Struthio camelus: one gene and its partners. The main gene of each other region encodes a partner of the protein of the gene in region 3 in a complex. Links are inferred from orthologs where the notes say so. Each region holds a gene or a part of one and is shown on either strand. Other genes may lie near its edges.

Evidence for each region.
Region 1: CACNA1C (region 3) and CACNB2 share a complex: the UniProt entries of both Homo sapiens proteins name them as parts of the calcium channel complex. The link is inferred for Struthio camelus from reciprocal best matches to the Homo sapiens genes CACNA1C and CACNB2.
Region 2: CACNA1C (region 3) and CACNB3 share a complex: the UniProt entries of both Homo sapiens proteins name them as parts of the calcium channel complex. The link is inferred for Struthio camelus from reciprocal best matches to the Homo sapiens genes CACNA1C and CACNB3.

Annotation. Positions count from the first base shown.
Region 1 is NC_090943.1:23,439,017-23,445,972, reverse strand, and holds the start of CACNB2 (voltage-dependent L-type calcium channel subunit beta-2), read left to right. Parts: upstream 1-3,889; 5' UTR 3,890-3,908; coding exon 3,909-4,007; intron 4,008-6,956. UniProt on the Homo sapiens protein: Beta subunit of voltage-dependent calcium channels which contributes to the function of the calcium channel by increasing peak calcium current. Plays a role in shifting voltage dependencies of activation and inactivation of the channel.
Region 2 is NC_090969.1:1,026,701-1,033,902, reverse strand, and holds the start of CACNB3 (voltage-dependent L-type calcium channel subunit beta-3), read left to right. Parts: upstream 1-4,111; 5' UTR 4,112-4,193; coding exon 4,194-4,235; intron 4,236-4,387; coding exon 4,388-4,480; intron 4,481-5,341; exon of another isoform or gene 5,342-5,359; coding exon of another isoform or gene 5,360-5,365; intron 5,366-5,709; exon of another isoform or gene 5,710-5,797; coding exon of another isoform or gene 5,798-5,839; intron 5,840-6,830; coding exon 6,831-6,953; intron 6,954-7,076; coding exon 7,077-7,199; intron 7,200-7,202. Other genes in the region: ADCY6 (adenylate cyclase type 6), read right to left, coding at 290-1,123. UniProt on the Homo sapiens protein: Regulatory subunit of the voltage-gated calcium channel that gives rise to L-type calcium currents. Increases CACNA1B peak calcium current and shifts the voltage dependencies of channel activation and inactivation.
Region 3 is NC_090942.1:69,941,617-69,949,420, forward strand, and holds the start of CACNA1C (voltage-dependent L-type calcium channel subunit alpha-1C), read left to right. Parts: upstream 1-4,765; 5' UTR 4,766-5,472; coding exon 5,473-5,521; intron 5,522-7,804. UniProt on the Homo sapiens protein: Pore-forming, alpha-1C subunit of the voltage-gated calcium channel that gives rise to L-type calcium currents. Mediates influx of calcium ions into the cytoplasm, and thereby triggers calcium release from the sarcoplasm.

The DNA of each region.
Region 1 (6,956 bases), on a different chromosome or scaffold from region 3:
CTATCAGGGCTTTAAGCATATGCTCAATCACGAGTATTTTAGCAGTTTTGCAGCAATCATTGTAAGCTCACATGCTTATATTAATGCAAGTGTTTAATTTTTAGCTTTACTTTCACAAATATCAGTCCAATATCCTAGGCCTATTTTTGCATGCTCAGGTCATGGTCATAGACTAAATCAATCCTGCACTGACTCTGCGTGTGTGCGCTAGAACACCGTGCTGGACATAGACATTCCTGTATTTGGGGTAAGGCAATTAAGCATGCAATGCAATACAGTGCTCCTCGCTCTAGAAGAATATCTAATCTCTCAAACAACAAAAAAGCAATTTTGGCACCCAAACAGCCTATCTTCTCTGTCAGCCTAAGGGTTTTTTAGTTTTTGTTTGTTTTTATTTTTTGTTTGGAAAAAAGAGCTTATCTTTCTTTATGTCAGTCCTCTAACATTTACATGTTTGGAAAAGTCCAAATAAGCATGCACAGCACTTCTCCGTTGCAGATAAAAGTGTAAAAAATGCAGCACAGTGGTTTTCTGCTGAGAAGTGGTTAGGCAGAGCAGGTTGTTTTCCCCTTGAGAAAGAACCAGTAATTTGGAATCTGTGCATATTGTTTTTACACACTGACCTTTCTCCTGGAGTAGATGTGGCCAAAAACAGCATGCGGGGGGATGCCTGCATGTATACGTGTTCAGCTGAAGGATTTCGCACTGCACAGTTCAAGGTTTTAGAACTCTGCCCAACTGCTAAACCCAAGGAGTAGAACAGAGTAAGATACTTAAAATTATTTGCCTAGATAAATGTCCTAGCCACTCATTATATCAAAGCAATGAATAATAATTGTTGCTAAAGAAAAGCCAGGTAGCATATTTTTGATCAAGAATGAAAATAAAATAAACTTAGAAATCTGTAGGTGATTTGAGTGTTTGAGGATTTTTGTTTTTTAGGGGAAAACTATAAACCACAGTTCTCTATATGTAACTAGGGATTTCTATAGGCAGTGAGCTTCCTCTTGTTCATTTGTGCCTTAAAAGCTTCTTTCCTGGTTCCCTGCTTTCTAAAGCCCCTGTATGTGGGTATATAAACAAGCAAAATCACTACCTTTCTTTTTTTTATAGAGGAAAGAAAAGAAGAAAAAGTAATCAGAATGGATATAGGACTTAGCGAAGGAAAAATGAATTTCATCTGATATATTCAAGCTCTTAATTTATGAGAGAGTAGAAATATCCTTTCAACACACATGCACAATTCATGGTTTCAGAGCCTGTAATGCTCCAAAATGATCTCTACTACTCTTAAGGAAGAATAGAATACTTAAAAAGAAAAAAATCTAATGTTAGTTATATATTCCCTACACAACGAAAAAATCAGAAGGCAGTATGAAGGACCACTGTTACATGAATAAATAGCTACCAGTCTTTTCTAATTCTCTCCTATGTGTGAGATAGCATAGACAGCCTTTGAAGGATGCCTTAAAACCTGCCAAATCAAGACTATACTGAATCATGGTGGAAGACAATATGCCAAGATCAGGGAATCTTCCCTGGAGAATGTCTTAGAATAAAAGAACAAATAGTTCCACAGATATTAAGGTGTTGGAAGTCAAAGCTAACCTCTTTGAATGCTCCTCACCCCCTACCCCCTTAGCAATCTTAAAAGAAACAGGAATGTTGTGTTAAGGTCTGTTGTGAAACCTCACTTACGCATTAAACTTCCTTAATTATTATGATGGTCACAAACAGTAACTCCATTAAAACGATCTAATCTGGAAGTGACAAAGATATAAATAACTACTTCAAGGCCTGCATTAGAGGGCACAGGATGTATTCTTCCCCTCAACCATGTAAGGAGAAAATGCGTTTTTAATTACAATCATTAAGAGAACATTTGGAAGCATTCCAAGATATAGTATCCAGTTTGAAGGTTCTTTAGCATCTCTACTGAACTATTTTAAGGAAATGGAAGCATGTAAAATAACATTCTTTTTGCTTAAATTAAGGTTCTCTTGTGCCGTAGACAACAACTTGGGTAAAATTCTAGAAATGATTTTTGAAGAATAACATGACAACTTTTCAAAATAAAAAAAAGTTGAGTTTTTTGGACAAGTGAAAGTTCTCAAGCTTCTTCAAACCTCAGAGCACATCTGCTTGCAGGGAAAGCCAATTCCTTCCAAAAAGCAGAAAGTTTCTGCAGGACATGTTCACCATTCATATGGACCATGTGGTAATTCCATAGGGCTAAGCTAATTAAGTGAGAACATTCAGCAGCCATTATGAAAAACTGGAGGTAAATCAAGCACGCAATCAGGAGAAAAGTTGAAAGCATTTCTTGAAGCTGAACTGGCTTTTCTGTTTTTGGTTTGTTGTCTCTACGTTGTCTCCTTTTTCTATATGCAACTATTGTGCTCCTGTTAGTTTTTGTTGTGACTGGAAGTATGCAGACATATCTGGCTGCCCAGAGTTTATGCAGCGATTTGTCGTTCTTCGTAACATGAAGTGATAAAAGATCTCACAAACAATCACAAAGTGATCTGGAAAACACAAGTTTCTCTCCCTTGTTGTCTACAGCATCGCTAGGTCCAATCTGAAGAGGACAACAAGAGGTAACAAGTCTATCTCTATAAAATCTAGTCTGACTACAAATCTTGGTCCATCGAGTGCTTATGCGGTCAGAGGCTGTAGGCTGTATCATGCCAGGTGAGCGTTGCTTCTGAGAAATGAACGGTAGATCTTCTCAGGGGTGGGGGCTGTTTTTCCTGGGTCAGGATTTGAACAGACCTTTCAAAAGTCTCCTGTGGGGTACATGATAACCGGATTAAAATTGTGCTGCTGCAGGTTTTATAAATATAGATAGTAGGCTTTATCTCACCTGCTAGCTAGGAATTACTCAGCCCTGCCTCATGTGCCTACGGGACTCTCCAAGAAGTACCGGAAGAAACCGTATCAATTGGACAGAGCTTCCCGTCTGAAAAGCGCCGATTTGTTCCCTAACAGCAAACGTATCCCGCGCCTGCCTTCGGCTTCGACACGAGCTGAGACACGCGACGTCCTGGCTAGGGACCGGGAGCGCCCACCTGTGCGGGGCGGCCGGGGCAGCGGCACGTCCCCTCGGCTCTCCCCGCCGCAGCCGGCCGGGGCGGCGCCGCTCCGGCGGGGCCCCGCGCCCGGGCCGAGCCGGCGGGCAGCGGCAGCCGCGCGCCCCTCCGCCCCTGCCGCTGCCTCGCTGCCTCGCTCGAGGGCAATGCTAGCTGTAAATAGCAACTTCTCTGACGGCAGGCGGGGAGCGGGCTCGCTCCCTCCGCCCCAGCCCCCCTTCCCGGCCGGGGCCCCGGCACCGCTCAGACCCCCCGACCCTCCCCTGCCCTTCGCGCACCGCCCCCTCCACCGAGCCCTCCGCGGGGCCGCCGCCGCCAGGCCCCGGCGCAGCTCCGCGCCCGCGGCCTGCGCCCAGCCCTCGCCCTGCCCGCGGCGCAGCGGCCGCGCAGCCCCCGCCCGGCCGGCGAGGGAGGGAGGGAGGCGCCGCCCCGCGCCCGCCGCCCGGTGCCTCGGGGCGGGGGGGGGGGCGATGCTCGCTGTCACTTTCCCTCTTCCCCACGCGCCGCCCCCTGCCCTCCCCCTGCGCCCGGCGGCGGCGGCGGCGCCCCGTCCCCCGGCGCTGCGCGCTCCCCGCCGGCAGCAGGCAGGGCCGAGCCGAGCCGAGCCGCGCCGCCGCCGCCGCCGCCGCCGCCGCCGCCGCCGCCGCCGCCGCCGCCCGCGCTCCGTCCCCGCCGCCGCCGCCGCCGCCGCCGCCCGCGCTCCGTCCCCGCCGCCCGCATGGCCGGGCGCTGAGGGGCGCCGCCGCCCCGGCCCGGCCCGGCCCGCCCGGCGCTGCCCGCCCAGGGCCCGGCGCCAGAGCTGCCCCGCGCTCGTCTCCGATGGTCCAGAGCGACATGTCCAAATCGCCTCCCGCCGCGGCGCAGGAGGTGCAGATGGAGCTGCTGGACAACCCCCTGCCCGCAGCGGCGGCGGCGCAGGTACCGCGGCGGCGGCGGACCCCGCGGCCGGGCCGGGCCCCGGGCGGCGGCGGGCGGCGGGCGGCGGGCAGCGGGGCCGGGGCAGGGGCGGGGGCGGGGGCCGGCGGCGGCGCTCGGCCGGGCCGGGCGGGCTTGGCGGGGGTGCAGCGGCCCGGGGGTGCCTGAGCTGCCGCCGGAGCAAATGGGGAAGGGAGCGACCGGGCTGCCAGAGCTGTCTGTCCTTCCACTTCAGCTCCCCGCCGTCAGAAAAGTTTGACAGCTCTTCTGGAGAGCCCGACCGTTTAATTACCGCACACAGTGGGGTGCTCTGTGCCACAGGGGCTTTGCAGAGCGAGTAGCCTTTCAGTTACCCAGGGCGTACCTAGATAAGAAAGCGTTGCTGTTGAGGCGCTCGCTCCTCCGTGCATTTGTTGCGGGCTGCGGTTATTTTTCCCTCCCCCGGTAACCTGCTGTGTCCGGCCGTGATGCTCCCCGCGCTCTGCTGCGCCCTGCTCACCTGTTGCACGGGCAGGAGCCTGGCGGAGAGGGGCAGGCCGTGCGCGCCGGTCGCGGCACCGCGCTTTGCGGAGGGTGCCGGTGCCCGGTGCCCTGCGGAGCCCAGCTGCGGCAGCACCGGGCAAAGGGTGCTGTGAGAGTCCTCTGAAATTGTACCAGCTCGGGCCGTGTGCGCTGCATGCGGGCTGGACGTACGGAGGGTGACAGGGAGTAGGTGGTAGCAGGCTTGGTGAAGACTTTATATTTTGAAAGATGGATCCTGTTTAATATATGAATGTTGCATAATATCTCCGAGTTTGCAATAGTTGGCTACACAGACTTAGGGAGCTATTTTTAAACCCGGTAAAAGGGTGGTAAAATATGATTGTGTGCGTTTTAAATTACAAACATACTTGTTCTTGTTAGGACAGAGATTTGGATTTTTTTTCCTTTCGGGGTGGCAGTTTTATTGCTGCTGCCAAAGCTATCTCTAATCCTCTATTTTCTTTGGAGAAAGTGGTCTGGTTTCATCACAGAAGTGCTTGATTGCCACAGGAAAACGGTGTCAGTCTGTCAAAAGACTCGCTAATTGATCTTTACTTACTGAGGATTGCGAAGAGCGGAACAAAATTCAGGCACTGAAATGGAGACTAGGTTAAGTTAAAAAGAAAAAGTATCTCTTTGGATGTGAATTTGTCTGCAGTTTCTAAGTGTGGAGCAGACCTTTCAGTAGGGCCATTTGCTTTGCCAACTTCTCCAGAGACAGCGGCGGTGGAACTAATTTCTGACCTGCAAATACCTCCTTTCTTGTCTCTTTTCAGCCCTAAGAACAGAATGGGCAACTGTGAAATCATATGGTGCCTCTCTGCTGTGGCGAAATGTCAAATAGCGATCATAAAGTTGAATCTCACCCCTCCTTTTAACTAGATAAAGACTCTCTCTCTAGAGGGGAAGGATAGTTGCTAATTCTTGCACTTTTTATGTTTCAGGTAAGGTACTTATATTCTGTTCTATTTAATTGGTTTCTGAATGCCTACACCAAAAAAGGACCACTTCTCAAGACAGTGATAATGCAGCTTTTCGGTTCAGGGAATAATTTTCAGTTTTCTAAACCAAAGTCAAGTTAGGCAAAACAAGAATCTCATCTTCTGCGTATGTATATGTTCCAGTCATACATAAACCTTGGATGTGGAAGAAGTAAGATTATGGAAACAAAAGATCCCTTTATCTGAATAATAATATTCAGTTAATTCCTTTGTATGTAGTGCATTGAAAGACAATTATTCTGATCTGAGTTTTTGCTCCATTAACGTGATTTCTAAAAAATCAATATTGTAAAATCTTGCTGCTTTAGAGTGTACTCACAGTGAGAAAGAGAAGCTTAATGTGAATATGTGAATCATCAAGTAGATAGCCTACAGGTACTTCAGTTAGGCCCACCATTATCTTTTTCACTAAGGTGCTTGAGTATTGATCCTAGAAACATTTCATGCCAAGTAGCGCATCAGAAAAAAAAAGGAAAAACAAAAACATGCGAGTTTACGGAGTGATATCACTCCTAAAAGTACTCTCTCTGAAGTGCTACTTCTGGGAATTATGATTTAGTGAAATATAACTGAAGAGCCTTCGTATACTTGTAACAAGCTTGAAGATTTCTCTTCTCCAAGAATTTTACTTTTGCAAAGCAGAGAGTTTCTTTTAATCTGGCTGTGCACCATGGTCAATATATTGGCTCGTACCCTTCCATAGATTTTGGCCAAACTTGTCCAGGCTTGGCAGAGGAGTGAATATATTTAACAATCTTTAAGAGTAATTACTTCCACAGTGTTAATTATGTGAACAGTTCTTAGATAGCCTCTGTGTAAACTCTAGTCCTTATTTTTGTAACCTGTTTTGCTAACAAGACGTGCAAAGGGAATAAAATCCCTGTAGGCGTTGATCCTGACAATTATACTGTCCTCTCCCCGAGGAGTTCCTTGACACAGAGGCAAGGTATCTATGCGTGTTTCTGTCTTACCTAATATACTGAGGCTCTTACCTCCATGCTACTGTAAAAAGCATAAGTACTCATTTTGATCCTAGTCCAGGCAGGGTTGTGGTAAACTTTGAGATGTCCAGTCTTATCCAGATGTATGCGCATGTTACTTGTTACACTGTGGAGTCATTCACAGTGTTGATGTGTAAGTCAATGCAAAGTAGTCGTTGTAGGTGTGACTCTTTTGTAATAAACTCAGCATTTGATTTTCAGAACTCATGAAGCGTGCAAGCTATTGAAATGCTTCGGAGTGATTTAAGATCAGTAGCTGTTTTTCTGAATCAACTCCATTTCCCTTTTTAGCTCTTTATTTCAGGAACTTCTCAAATCTACAAATTTTAATCAGAATACTCAATTTAATTATTTTAAATAACTCAGATGCTATGCTCATTTTTTCTTCATATATTGTAACATAGCATATTAATACTTCTCATGGTTCT
Region 2 (7,202 bases), on a different chromosome or scaffold from region 3:
CCCGCGCCGGCCCACAATGCAGGGCTTGTGCGCAGCCCCTGGCCCAGACAAGGGGCCCCTTTACCCCCCCCCTTCCCCAGGCTGGGGGTTGGGGGAGCCGCAGCGCCCACGGGACCCCCCCTCACGCCGGCTCCAAGGCAGGAACCCTTCCGGCCTCCAGAAGTTTCTAGAGGCAAAAATTTTGGCCGCAACGAGGATTCTGCAAATCTCTGCAGCTGCGGGGAGCTGCCGGCGCGGGAGCGGCGGGGCGGGCGGCCGCCGCGGCGGGACCCCCGCGCCCCACCTCTACCTGCTTCCAGAGGAAGGGGTCGGCGGCGTTGCGGTGCCAGGAGATGCCCAGGTGCAGGGCGGAGAGCAGGGCGCCGGCCAGCACGGCGGCCCGCATGCGCACGGGCAGCAGCGTGTAGGTGATGTAGATGAAGAAGACGCTCCACCAGACGCCCTCGGAGGCGCTGCGGGGGGCCGCGGCCAGGGTGCCCAGCGCCTGCACCCCGGCCAGCAGCCCCAGCACCACGTAGCTCACCACCCACATGTAGTCCTGGGGGAAGGCGCTGCGGCTGCACAGCACCATGAGCAGCAGGAAGAGGGCCGTGGCGCCGGCCAGCGCGGCGGCCGCGGGCACCGGCGGCGAGCCGGGCAGGCACTGGAAGAGCAGCATCACCCCGCACACCAGCACCAGGACGCCCATGAGCACCGTGAGGCTGCTCTGGTTCATCTGGAAGAAGTAGCGCTGGTAGAGCCGCTCCAGCTTGGCCGACTGGAAGCGCTTGGAGCGGAAGACCTGCAGGACGCGCCGCCAGCACTCGCCGGCCGACAGCCGCTGCCCGGGCTCCTTCGGCCCCTTGGCCTCGCCGTCCTCGAAGCCCACGTCCACCGACTTGAGCCCCAGCTCGCCGGCCGCCCCTTTCTTGCCGTAGTGGTCCTCCTGCCAGGTGCAGCGCAGCGCCGGGGCGGTCCGGGCCGGCCCCCCGGGCCGCTCCATCTCAGGGTCCTGCAGGCAGCTCATGTAGCGGGGTCCGCAGAGGGCGGCGCGCGGGCGCTGGCCCTTCTTGCCGTTGCGCTCGCCCCATGCCGTCTTCCGCTCGTCCACCTTGGGCACCAGGATGCCGCTGAACCACGACATGCTGCGGGCAGGCGAGGGGAAGGGGGGGGGGGACCTGAGCTGGGGGGCTCCGCTGGCTGCAAAACGGCGCCGGGGGCTGCACGCCGGCGGTGCCGCAGGAGGGTGGCAGCCCCCCGGGGCAGGCGTGCGGACCCCGAAGCCAGCGCGGCACGGGGCAGCGGGCGCCCAGCCCCGCGGACACCTGCGCCGCGGCTCTGCCCGCCGCCCCACGGCCCGAGCCCACGGGTGACACCTCGCCGCCGCGGCCTCGGCCGGCCGGGCGCCGCGCCGCCCCACTGCAACAGCCTCCGGCTTCCCGGCTCTGTTTGCCTTGAACGGCGGCCAAGGGGCTCCGCCGAGCTGCCGCGGCCCCGGGGCCACCGGGGCACCCGCGGCCCGGCCGGGACGTGGCAACCGGGCGGCGAGCGAAGGCGACCCGGAGCGGCGGAGCCCCGCCGGGCCCTGCCCGTGCACCCACCGCCGCCGCCCGCTCCGCTCCGCTCCGCCGCCGCGGGGCCTGGGAAAGCGCCGGCCCCGGGCAGCCGCCGCCGCCGCCCCGCTCACCTCCGGCTCCGGCTCCGGCTCCGGCCCCGCCGCCCGCTGCTACACGGCGGCCGCGCCGCGCCCCCGCCGCTCCATCCCGCGCGCCCCGGCCGGGCCCCCGGTCCCGGCCCGCCCCGGCCCGGTAACCGCCCTCCCGCCCGGATCCGCTCCCGGCCGGCGGCCTTAAAGGCGCAGGCGGCGGCGGCCCGGTGCGGCCCGGTGCGGGCGGGGGAGGCGGGGGCGGCGCGCGCGCGCGCGCGCGCGGGGGCGGCGGGCGAGCGGGCGGGCGCGCGCGGGGCCGGGCGGGCGAGTAAGGGCGCACCGGCAGCACCGGGCACTGCGCACCGGCGCGCGCGCGCGCGCGCGCGCCCCCCCCCCCCGCGGCCGGCACACGCGCAGCCCTTGCACACCCGCGCGCGCGCCCCTTGCACGCGCTCCCCCTCCGTGTGCGCGCGCGCGCGCACCCCGCCTTTGCGCGTGCACGCGCGCAAGCAGCCTGGCGCTCAGCGCAGCGCGCTGGCCCAGGCGCGTGCACGGGCGCACAGGGTGGCCGGTGTTGGGGGGGGGGGAGAGGGGGCTGCTGGCACGCGCAGCCCCCCCCCCCCGCACGCCCATACACCCGCTTTTGCACCTGCCCGAACACGCGCGTGTGCGCGCACACGCGCGTGCAACCCCCCCCACGCGTGCACACCTGCCCACTCCTGCGGCGCGCACCCCCCTCCTTGCACACTCACCCCCCCCCCCAGCAGCACACACATGGGTGCAACACGCAGGGTCTCCCCAGCCGAGGCTCCCACCCAGGCCCCAGCCTTGCACCCCACGGCCCGGGGCACCCCACGGTCTGGGGACACCCCACGGCTCAGGGGCACCCCCCCCCAGCCCAGGGGCACCCCCCGGCCCGGGCGCCAGCCCGCCGGGCCCCCGCGCGGAGGGAGCCGCAGCGCCCGGCCCTGCGCGGCACCGGCTGGCAGCAGGAATGCAGGCCACGTCCTCCGGGGAGACGAGATTAATGATTAATTACCAGCGACTGCCGCCGTGTCCCCAGTGCGGGAAGTCCCCGCCGGGCCCAGGGGGGGCTGCAGGGTGCAGCCAGGGCCGGGCACCCGCGGGTGCCGGGAGCCCCCCGGGCGGCCGGCGCTTCCCCCTGCCCGAACGCCCAGTTGGCCCCGGGGCAGGACGAGGGCCGGGGCGGCGCGTGGCTCCGGGTGCCGGCAGGGCGTGGGACGCGCCCGGCGGGGACCTGGAGGCCGCCGCGTCGCCCGTCCCTGCCGGGCTCCCGCGCACGGCCCCGAAGGCGCCAGCCCCGGCCCCGCTCCCCGCCTTATCAGCCGAGTCCAGAGCTCCCTGGATTAATTATTACAGGCGCGTTTCCCTCCTGGGTCCGGCCCCGGGCCGCGAGGCCCCGGCACACATTAACCAGGAGGCGGCACCGCGCGGCGGCCGCGGCGCCTGCTGCGGAGAGGGAAACTGAGGCACGGGGCGGCCGGGCAAGAGGGCGCTGCTGGGCCCTGCTGGCCCTCGTGCCCTGTCCCGGGCTGGATCCCGGCCCTGCTGGGGATCCCCATGCTGGATCTTGGCCCTGCTGAGGCTTCCCAGGCTGGATCCTGGCCCTGGTGGGGCTTCTTGGGATGGATCCCGGCTCTGTTGGGGATCCCCATGGTGGATCCCAGCCCTGCTGGGGCTCCCGGGGCCGGATCCTGCCCACGTCACCCCTCGCAGCAGCAGGCCCCAGCGCTGCTCCCTCCATCGATCCAGCCCTGCAGCAAACCGCGTTGCTGCAGCAACGGCAGCGCCGGGGCCGGGCCGGATCCGGCCGCCTCCTCCGTGGGCACCCCGGGGTCACGGAGCGTGGGGTGCATGTGCGCGCACACGTGTGTGTGTGTGTGTGTGTGTGTGCGTGTGCGTGCGCTGCACGAGGTGCCCGTGGGTGGGTGTGAGCGTGCGTGCCCACGGGCACGCGTGTGCGCACGCAAAGCCTTGACTGCAGGCATGCATCCGTGTGTGTGTACACACGTGTGCGCATGTACACGCGTGTGCAAGCCAATCCCAGGGCAGGGGGCAGCGGGACTGTGGCGGGGGGGGCACCAAGGCCCCCCCCGGGCTCCCCCCCACGGCCCCACCTGCCCCACGCACGGATCTGGGGGGTGCAGATACCCCACGGCGGGTGGGGGGGTAGAAGAGCCCGGCATCCCCGGGCACCCACAACCCCGGTCCCCCCCCACATCGCGGACACGCGTGGGCGCCCGAGCAGACGGTACCGCTAGGACGGGCCCGGCAGCCGCGGGGGCGGCGGGGCGGGTGTCCCCGGTCCCCTCCGGAGGCTGCCCAGCCGCGGGGGGCGCAGGCCGGCCGCCACGGGGATGGGCGCGGGGGCGGGCAGGGCGGGGGCGGGGACGGCCGGGAAGCCCCGGCGGCCCCGTGCGCGGCGGAGCGCGGCGGCGGCGGCGGCAGCGGTGGCGGCGGCGCGGCCCTTCCCGGCGGAGCGCCGCGGTCCGGGGCTGGGCGGCCCCCGCCGGGATCCCGGACGCTCCGGTCGCTGCCGCCGGGCATGTCCGGAGCGGCGGAGCCCGCAGCACCCGGCTCCTTCCAGGTGAGCGGCGCCGACCGCCCCCCCCCCCCGCCCCCGAGCCCCGCGGCGGCCCGGTGCCCGGTCCCGCCGGATGCCCGGTGCCCGGTGCCGTCCGGTGCCGCCGGGGCTCACGGCTCCCTTCTCCCCCCCCCCCCCGACCCCGCTCCCCGCAGAGCCCCCGCAAGCTCCCGAAGCGCAAGAGCCGCTTCAAGCGCTCCGATGGCAGCACCTCGTCCGACACCACCTCCAGCATCCTCCGGCGGCAGGTGAGGCCAGCCCGGGCCCCCCCGGTCCGGTCCGCTCCGGTCCCCCCCCACCCCCCCCCGCTCCGGCCGGGGCACTGGGGCTGGGCGCACGCACCGGGCGCCGGTGGCATCGCCAAAGCCGCTCCCCGCGGCTAAAAATAGCGAGTGCTGCGTCAGGGCCGGGCCCGGGCCGCCGGGTACCGGCACTGCGGCGGCGGGGCCCGGCGGGGGGGGGGCGCCGGCGCCCCGGGACCCGCGGGGGGGGGGGTTGGAGGTCCGGCCGCTCCGCAGCGCCGCTGCCCGGCGGCCGTGGGGAAACTGAGGCAGGGCAGCTGAGGAGGGGGCCGGGTTGGGGGGGGGCTGGGTCTCCCTTCCCGCCTCCTCCCCACGGGAGGGGGGGGGCTCCCGCCGCCCCCGCCCGCCTGCTCCGTCTCACACCGAGCCGAGCGGGCCCCCCCCCCTCCCCGGGTAAGGGGGGGGTGGTACCGGGGCCAGCCCGCAGCCCTGGGGGGGGGGAGGAGTCGGGGGCCCGGCCACCCCCATGCACCCCTTGCAGGACCCCCTTGCAACCCCCCCGACGCCCCCTTGCCCCCCCTCTCCCCTCCGAGCACCCCTGTGCCCGGCCCCCCCCCGGCCCCCGCCCCGGCTGCGCGGCCCCTTCAGCACCTCGGAGAGGGCCCGGCGCGGCCCCCCCCCCCCCCCCCCCCCGGGCCCGGCCGCCGCGCGGTACCGGGGCGGGCCGGCCCGCTCCCCCGGGGCCCGCCGCTGCCCCCCTCCTCGGGGGCGGGATGGGGGGGGCGCGGCGGGGGGGCGGGAGCGGCTCCGGCCCCGCCGCAGGGCTCGCCCTGCAGACGGGGCTGCTGCCGCCTCGGGGCAGCACCGGGGCCGCCGCACCGGAGCATGGAGGTACCCACCGACCCCCCCCCCCACACACTCCCACCCCCAACCACCCCCCGGGACCCTCGGCGAGGCAGCCCCCCCATCCCACCCCTCCGCCGCCTTCAATTGCCCCGGGGGCCCGGTCCAGGCGCCCCCCCCTCCTCCTCCCGCCGGGGCCGCCCGGGACCCCCGGTGCGAGAAAGAGCCCCGGTGGCGGCGGCGGCGGGGGGGGGGGACAGCGGAGAGGGGCCGGGGCCCCCCGGCAGCCGCGGGAAGGGGGGCGGCTCCGTGCGCCCCGGGGGGGCGGCGGGAGGCGGGGGCGGGGAGGGGCGGGGAGGGGCGGCGGCGGAGCGGGCAGGGCCAGCCGGAGCCCGAGCCGCAGCCGGAACCGGAGCCGGAGCCGGTGCCGGGGCCCGGGCGGGGGGGGGCGCGGGCGGCTCGGCTCGGCTCGCCCCGTCTATGTCGTTTTCTGACTCCAGCGCTACCTTCCTGCTCAACGAGGTACCGGTGCCGGTACCGGGCGCGGCGGCGGTTCCCGGGGGGGCCGTTGTGCCCGGAGGGGGGGCGGGGGGGACTCGGTGGGGGCGGCTGTGCGCGGCGGCGGTTGTGCAACGGGGGGCGGCGACTGCGCACCGGGGGCTGCGCGCGGCGGCGGGACCGAGCCCGGGGCGGGGGCTCCGGTGCCCCCCCCCCGCCGCTGGCCCTTTGTTCCCGGGGCGGCGCCGCCGATCTCGCCCCCCCCCCGCCCACCCGGCCCGGGACCGCGCGGTGGGCAGCGGGGCCAGCCGCGGGGGGGGGGCTACATTGAGGATGCCGGCTTGGGGGTGGGTATTTTAGGGAGGCCATGTTGGGGGGGGCACGCTGGGAGGGCTGCGATAAGGTGGGGGGGAGCCCAGGGCCCCCCCGAGACGCGAGCGAAGCTGAGAGATGTGCGGGGGGGGGGGCTCTTCTCCCTGCAGAGGAGCCCCGTGCCGTGGGGGGGGGGTCCCGGTGCCCGCCGTGCCCACGGCAGCCCAGAGCATCGCCGGGGAGGGGGGACGTGGGGGGGGGGCTCGCAGATACATCCAGGCACCTATAAATATTTCACTGCAGCTTCTGCGCTTGTTCCGGGCGCAGCAGGCGCCGGCTCATTTCCCGCTGGGGGGGGGAAGCTGGGGGGCTGTGGCGCGCCCCGGCCCTCCGGGCCCCCCCCCGGCACAGCGGGGGCGGCTGCTGCTTCCCGGAGCCTGGCGTTTCCTGGGCATCCGGCGAGCCCTGGGTGCAGCCGTGCCCGCGGCCCCCCCCGTTAGGGAGCCGGGGCTCTGCCAGGCAGCAGCGGTGCCCGGAGGGGCCGGGGGGCACCGGGTTGGGGTCAGGCCCGGGCGTTGCGCGGCCGCCCCCGTCCCCGCTGCAGGGACGCAGGGCGCAGGGCACGGCCGCAGCGGTCTCTGGGCGCTGGCGGGGGGGGGAGGCTCCCGCGGGGCCCCCCCGACACTCAGCCCCCGTCCCCCAGGGCTCAGCGGATTCCTACACCAGCCGCCCGTCCCTGGACTCCGACGTGTCCCTCGAGGAGGACCGCGAGAGCGCCCGGCGCGAGGTGGAGAGCCAGGCCCAGCAGCAGCTCGAGAGGGCCAAGGTAGCGGGGCGGGAGGGAGGCACGCGGGAGCCCGTCCGCCCGGCCTCGTGCACGGCCTCCCCGGGGCCGGGGGTCCAGCCGCCGGGGGCCCGGCAGGTCGGCGCTGACCCCCGCGTCCCCCAGCACAAGCCGGTAGCCTTCGCCGTGCGCACCAATGTCAGCTACTGCGGGGCGCTGGACGAGGAGTGCCCGGTGCAGGGAGCCGCCATCAACTTCGAAGCCAAAGATTTCCTGCACATCAAGGAGGTG
Region 3 (7,804 bases):
CTGCTAAAATTTCAAAGGGAAATATGTGGCTAACTTTCCGAAGTTGACTTTGAAAAGCCATGGTTCTGATTTTATACATTTTCAAAATTTTGTGTGCATTTGGCACTGTTACGGATTTTAAGAAATGAAAGCACCTAGAAATCCTGGTCATCAGTCCTGCTTTTCCCTTCCATCCCAGGTCTCTTGCCTTCTCTGTATTACAGCTGACTGGTAGGTCTGAAAGGTCTGCGGTTTCCTGACCACACTTTCAATGGCTTTAGACAGGACTATCAATTACTTTCATTCCAATTAAAATTAAAGAGCTGAAACAAAATTGTCAAATAAAGAACATGTTTTAGGAATCTATATTCATTATAGATGTGAACAGTTTTTGTGCTTTTTTTTTTCTCAGCAACAACCAGGAAGGTGAAATGGAGAAGATGGTATTTACATTTTTAGGTGATACAAAGTTCAGAAAAATCACAATTAGCTTTGAGAACAATTCTAAACACAACAGTACTGATATATGAGAAAAGTTTGCTATCACCAATATTTGATTTAAGATAAATACATTTTAGTCATGCAATGCCAGAAAAAAACAGTATTTCCAATACACTGTATATGGCCCAACAGAGCAGTACTGCACAAATGACGGAACTTGTGTTAAGGGTATTAGGGTATGAATAAGGGTTATTCATGCATGATGATTATTTTAATGTACCAGGACCAATCAAGCTTTTGCATTCAGGTTTGAACACTATTTTAAAGGAAATAGACGCTAGACAGAAAATAATTATTTAAATGCTTTGAAAAAAGAAAGACCAAGTTCTTCATGCACCAATCGCAGTGTTTAGATCCCATTTACTTAAATCAGTGACAAAAAATCACCTAGTTTTCAGTGCAACAAGGTGCTGATTCTTATGGAAAGCCTTGTCTGTTATTTGGTGGAGGTGCAAAAACTGAAATCTGGAAAAAATCACTTTCAGGAAAGTAATGAAGAGCTCTGGCACTGTTTCTCTGAGCTGGCCCTGAAAGAAGTTGCATTTGTATTGTGAGCCTTAATACTGTTTCTGGGGATAAATACATTTCTCTTTCACTTCTGAATAATTTGTCGTCGTATTTTATAGTGAAAGACATAGCTGCCAAAACAGTGTGAATATAATCTATGGAAATTAGATAGTTTGATAATTTATGCAGTAGGCCCAATGAACAACCTAGCTCGTGTAAAAAGAAGTGAGAGTGCTTAAAAAGGCACTTCAAATAATTTTATAAATTATAAAAATAGTTCAATGCAGAGTTACTGTATGTTCTTGTTTGTTCTCGTCCTATTACGTTCTAGCCCCATCTTTAAAATCAGCATTGCGATATCTCTTCCTTTTTGAATGGAGGGAACACTCTGCTCCGCAACCGCTTTGGTGATTTCTGTTTTGAAGGAAGATGCTGGTTCTGATAACTGGATTTTGAAGAAGCTGTTGTGCCCAGTATGCTCTCTATATGGCTGGGTAACAGGGAAGGAGTAGTACGTTGTATGCAGAACAAAGACATTCCTGACACGCAGAATGCACAGTTGCATGTTTAAATTATGTACTCTACAAATCATCCTTGACATTTTGTAACTTTAAATAGCTGTTTCTCAGAATCTCTGTCTTGGTACTTTATATGGCTCCCATTACTATTGTTCTCAGAGCAGTTGCAGAACTACTTTTCTCCTCCTAGCATTCCTCTGAGGTGGAAAACTATTATCTCCACTTTACAGCTAGCTTAAGGCTGAACAAATGTTGGATCATTTGTCCGATCTATAGTCATCTGCTTAAAGAAAGTCTATGATTGAGGATATATTCAAGGCTGGTCTGAGACTTACCCTAGTGTCCTGATCGTGAGGCCATCCATTTTACCTTTAAAGCTGTTGGCTACCACATCAGAAAGGGACAACAAACTTTCTGATGGTTCTTGTATTGAAAGAATAATTCTTTCATAAATCTTTTAAGATCTTTTGCTCACCTGTAAACTCATCTTTGGGCTGCATGTGTAGTTATCTAGCTCCATTTGAAGAAAGCAAAATGTGTTCCTCTTCAGAAGGCCTAAAGGCTTTTCAAACCATCAGACAGTCATCAGTCATTCAAAAATAATAGAGAGTCTTCTAATTCCCTCAGGCTGTACGCTTTGCCTTTGGAGTCCTGGCCCAGAACTTACGTGATCAAACTGCTCAGGAGCCAAGGGCCGTTCAGAGAAGGGCTCTTGGCCGCTCTGAAGTCTCCAACTGCTCATCTGGAATCCCTAACAAAATCCCTTCTTCACTATCTCTAGGAAAAATAGAAAGAAAATGAATGTATTTTAGAGCAATTGAATTTTCTCATTTTCTAAGGAGGGCAACACCTTGGGTGCTCTACTGAGCGAGAGATCTGTTATTAAATGTGAATTTAAGCAATCACCAGTATTAAGAAAAATCTTACAAGTGCTTTTACTTCAAATGCAACTTTTTTTACTAAACCTATTCTCATGAACTACATTTTCTCAGTGCACTTTGACAATACAAATGTTTTAGGGGAAGGCATGATGCTCACTCTTATGTCACCTGACTGTCCTTCATTAGCAGATGTCTCCATCTGAATGTTGCAGTCAGTTTCTTTACACTTCTTTTTATAGAAAATTATTTGCATCAGAAATGCTGAATAAGGAAAGCTCAAGTTATAATACAATTTTATTGATGCTAAAGAAATTAATGCCAGCTAATATTCTTGTTTCTTGTTCTATTTTTCTTCTGTGTTTGATTTTTGGTAATTGGCCCAAATTGTGTCCCACAGTGGGAGCCTGGCAAAGAGAGAGGGATGAAGAATGGAGAAGAAGATTTGTAGGTGGCAGGGACAGCTTGCGTATGTGGCTGCATACGTATGTGAGCTGGCATAAAGCAAGGCTATGTGGATGCTGTTTAACTAATATAGTATACGAGCCCTTAGCTAGCTAAGAATGTGATCCAGTAAGGGCAAAAGAAATGTTTGCAGGTGCCCCAGTGGTGGTTGATTTCTGTGCAAGAGCAATCAGCATGCACTTAATCACTTCCTAGGAGATTATGTCTGTGAAAGGGTGAATCATACAACTCTTGGTTGACTCATGGCTTGAAAAAAATGGAATTACCACAATCCAAACTGGTAGGAATTTGTGTTCATGAGGAGAAAAATAAAATGCTTGTTTACACAACAAATTTAGGAAGAGGATACTTTACTGTTTAGTCCTTTTACAATGATGAAGGGAAGAGTGGGTTTTTCATTTTTACAAGAAAGAGACAACTGGAATTGAAAAGGAAAGCTAATATATTGCTATTCCATTTCTAGCTATGATCTTGCTTGATCTCATAAGTTAAATAGGGTAAGTGCATGTGACGTTATTAGAGGAAAAACTAGGCAATAGAGGACAGAGTATTTTAGTTGCTCGGAGGACCTCTTCCTCCTGACTCAGAAATAAAGCTGCATCTCTACATGCTGTCAATGGCAATATGTTGTTGGTGAACTACCTTTTGGATAGCAGCTAAAGCAGAAGTTATGATCATCAGTGGTTATTAGAAACCAAAACGACCTGTCTTAGGGCTAGTGCATTGGCTGCATCCAGATTTTGGTAAGTGCTTTACATCTAGTCCAGTTTCTCTTGTAGTTCCAAGTGGATGGTATATTTTCTTGCTTTTTTGCCTAAATCTGTTAGGTGTTGCTGTTTTCTATTATATTCTGAGCTTTACCTGAGAGACAGCTCAGGTAAAGTGGTGGGAAGAAAAGCCTCAAAGGGAGACAGATATTTGATAAATCCCGCTGAAATCCATTTGTAGAGAAGGCACGAAGTTCCTTCTAAAGTGATTCCTTCACAGAGTGTGTTACCAACTTTAAAATATTTGGATAGAAATACCCTGTCTTTCTAGGTTACATGAAAAACCATGAGAAAAGAAAGAACCACTATACTTTAGTTTCCATAAATAGTATTGCATACACGTGATGTTAAATGGATACCCTGTTACCATGAGAATTGACACCTATAGGTTTGCACAGAGGACACAATATTCTGCACATTTACCCACCTGTAACTCAGTGTTTCAGTTTCTCAGATTGTTACAGTTTCTACAGCGGTTCTGGAGGGGTATTTTTGAACTCTGCATCTCTTGTTTAACATGGCAGCTCTGAGAGTCCAGATACATTTAGCATGTACTGCATTCAGTTCACATTTCGTTTTAAAGAAGTCATTTTTGCTCTCTGTGGAGGCTTCAATTACAGTGGGCCAAACGACAGGGATAATTAAGGCAAGTGGTGGAATACCAGCAGAACGCTTTGGTGTTTCCACCAAGGATTTTGCAAATCCTAGCTTGATTAATCTGTTTAAACATCTGTGCATCCTCTTGTCTATGCAACTTATCCCTGGGTAGCTCTCTCTCTTCCGCTCTGTGTGTACCGTGCATGCATTTGTGCCGTGTGGACTCCTGCTCGCAATGGATCAAACACAATCACAGCTCATTCTGCCGTCTCGTTAAGCGCTCGCACATGATGCGGGCGGTAATATTTCAGCAAATTACATCGTCCTCCTTTAAATTCAGCTCACAATTGCATTCCGTAGTGGAACCGCAGGGCAGAGCCCACAACGTTGAGAAATCGCGTCGAAGAGGGGCTGGAGGCCGGCGGCGCCCATTGCCGCGGGCGACCCGGGAGGCGCGGCGCGGTGCGGTGCCGCCGCCCGGCCCGGCCCGGCCCGGCCCGGCCCCGCCGCCGCTCCCCTCGCCGGTCCCCCCACTCGCCCAGGCAGCCGGCTCCGGCTTGCCTCCTTGACGTCATGTCTGTAGAAAGGCTTCAGCAGGCGCAGTGAAGGCAGGGAGCGTGTTAAACTTTCAGATCAAGTCAGCCGGCTCCCAGCGCTGTGCGCGGGGGGCTGCGTGCTGCCGTCGCAGCTGGAACATCTGGAAGTGTTCAGGGTGTCTGTCTGTCTGCGAGAGGCAGAGAGAAGGGAGCGAGCGTGCTGAGGGAGGGGAGGGAGTAAGGGGCTGGGACTGTGCTCTCTCTTCCTCTGCAGAAACAGCTCCCTGCCAACACAACGCGCTCAGAATGGCTTTGAAGAGGAGGAGCAGCAGCGTTTGAACATCTTTTTTTTTTTTTTTTTTTTTTTCCTCCTTTTCTTACTCTTGTAGTTGGTGGATTTTAAAAAAGACATTTAACCCTCAGAGGTTTGTCCTGGATGCTTTTTCTTTCCTTTTTTTTTTCCCCCTCTCTCATTTCCCCCCTTCCTGTTCTTTTTTATGGTTTAACAGCCAGAGGTGCTGTGCTAAATTCTTGGAAGGGGCCCGGATGTACTGAGGATGCATTGCAATTTCACTAAAGGAGGCAGTAGTGGAAAGGATCAGTTTTTGGTGTTTGATGCAATAATGGGAATCAGGTAATAATAAAAGAGGGAATTCTGCAGCTCCATTCTTCCTTGAATTTTACCAAGCCGATTTGCGGAGGGATTAATCTGGACTCGTTTTAAATGGTCAATGAAAACAAGAGGATGTACATTCCAGAAGAAAACCATCAAGGTAAGCTTGAGATTTACCTCAAAGCCTCTAGCAACCATTCTCTCCCGTCCCCATTGTCTGTAGTCTCTCGGTGCAGTTCAGCTGCTCCCGCTGCTGCCACAGCCAGCGGCAGGCGCAGGGGCCGGGGGAGAGGACAGGCTTTGACACCAGTTTCCATTCGGAGCGTATAGATACCATCAGTAACGGGTGTACTGCAGGGAGAGAGCCCCTCAGCCCTTCGGGGAGCGTGTGCTTCGTATGAAACCCCAGGCAGAGAAAAGTTGCTTAAGTCGCCGTCACCTTCTTCTGAAGCAGACGGGCGAGAGGGGACGCCCGGGGCAGGGGCTGTGCAGTGTGGACGGAGGCTAAGTGAAGCCGCGGGGCAGCTCGCTTTTACGTGTCGGGGGCAGATTTAACTCGCAGTGCAGCCGGGATTAGGGGATCTTTACCAATTAATGTCGTCCCGATCCTCCTAGCCCCCATCTCAGTACGGCTTCCTAAGACACCGGGAGAGGAGCCCTACCCTTCTCTTACGCTATTTCTAATCTCTCGCACGAAAGGGGAGGGGAAGGGGAATTATCTACTTACACACACACAACATACACACGCACATACGGAGACAGAATGACAGACACCGGTGAGTGTCTGTATGAAAATTAAAGTTAGGCTTTACTTGGGGCAGTGATTTCTCGACTAGCTCCTTTCGGGATCGCCCGCATCATGGATACCCAGCCGTGCTGCTGCTCCTCAGCATTAGCAAATGTACCCAGCTATTCCCTGTAGTAAAACTTTGTTTGTCCAAACTCCAGAAGTGTGCCCTCGCCCCCCCCTTCCCCGCTCAACCCCGATCTGCTGTTCCTGAAGTTATTTTTATCCTGTTACCTGCATGTTGTCACCCCCTCCCCTCCCTTCCCGACCAGCCCTGAGCGCGCACAGCGGTATTGCAGAGCAGGCAGAGCCATTTCCTTCCCTCGGCGAGAGAGGAGCAGTGCTCCAGCGGCAGCGCTCTGCCGGGGGGGGGGGGTCTTTCTCAGCAGAACCCCCCCCCCCCGTTTGTGGCCAACTTGTTTCCCCTGCCGTCCCCCTAGGGCAGCCCCCCCGCCCCGTTTCGCGGTACGTGCTCGCACCTCCGCTGCCCGGGCTGACTTGTCCGGACGGCGATCGGCGGCGGCGATTTAACAGCTGGGTTTGGTGCGGGGGCGCCCGGGCGGCGGGGACCCCCAGCCCGGCCCGCTGAGCTGCCCAGGTGCCCTCTCCCGGGCCAGCCCCGGCAGGGGCGGCAGCCGGGGACGGGCGTTATCGCTGCAGCAGCTCTTCATAGCGGAGGGGTTTCAGCGGTCGGCCCACCCCCCACCCCTTCCAGTTAAATACGATTAAATAGAAAGAGCAGCACCCTCCAGGCGCCCTGTGGCGGTGAGGTGGGAGAGCAGAGGAAGCGGCCCCCGGGGCGGTGCGGAGCGGAGCGGAGCGCTGCGCGGGCTGCGAGCAGGGCCGAGCCCGCGGCACATGCCAGCGGGCGAGCTGCTGCTCCGCGGCCAGCGCCACGAAGGGGGACGAGGAGCTCAGCCTCCATAGCGATATGCCAACGCTATGGCAACCTACAGCCAGCTCCCTGCTTATCAGCTGCAGTGATTATATAATTGGAGGAGCAGTTTTGCATCTGTCTCTTGATGCGGATTGTCAGGACTCCCAGGTGAAAGAGCAACTCGTAAAGCAAACAGAGAATGAGCCAGATGGAAGAAAGTTGTGTTCCCTGGTAGTGCTCGGGCTGTCATGTATTTACAATCTATTTTTATTTTGTGTAAACAGAGAGCGCTTGAAAGGTTAAATTGATCAGTAGCCAAGAAAAGCTGGTGGCAAGGAGGTGAGAGCAAACCAATCACGATGGGGAAGGGGGTAATTAAAGCGGGTGCGGGGGCTCAGCTGAAAGAGGCTAAAAAGACGAGGAGAAGGCAAGGCTAGGGCTGTGCTGCGGGTCTGCCCTTCACATGTGTGGAGGGAGGATCGGTTCAGGATAATCGGTGCCTCACTTCTGCATCCTTCTCAGCTGCTGGTAGCAGGGTGGATGTTCCAGGTACTACCAACGCAAGAAAAAATTTTATGTCTCTTTCTTGAAATGTGAGTGGCATGACTAGGCCTCTGCCTGTAGTTGCTTTCTGCACATGTCAGCCCTCAGTTAACCACTTAGTAGACTGCCTGAATAGCCTCATACTGAGGAGTCTCTATGGCAAATGAGCCAAAATAATGGTAGCTTATTTAAAAGAAAAAACAAAAGTGTACTGAAGTATACTGGAAAGCGTTAGT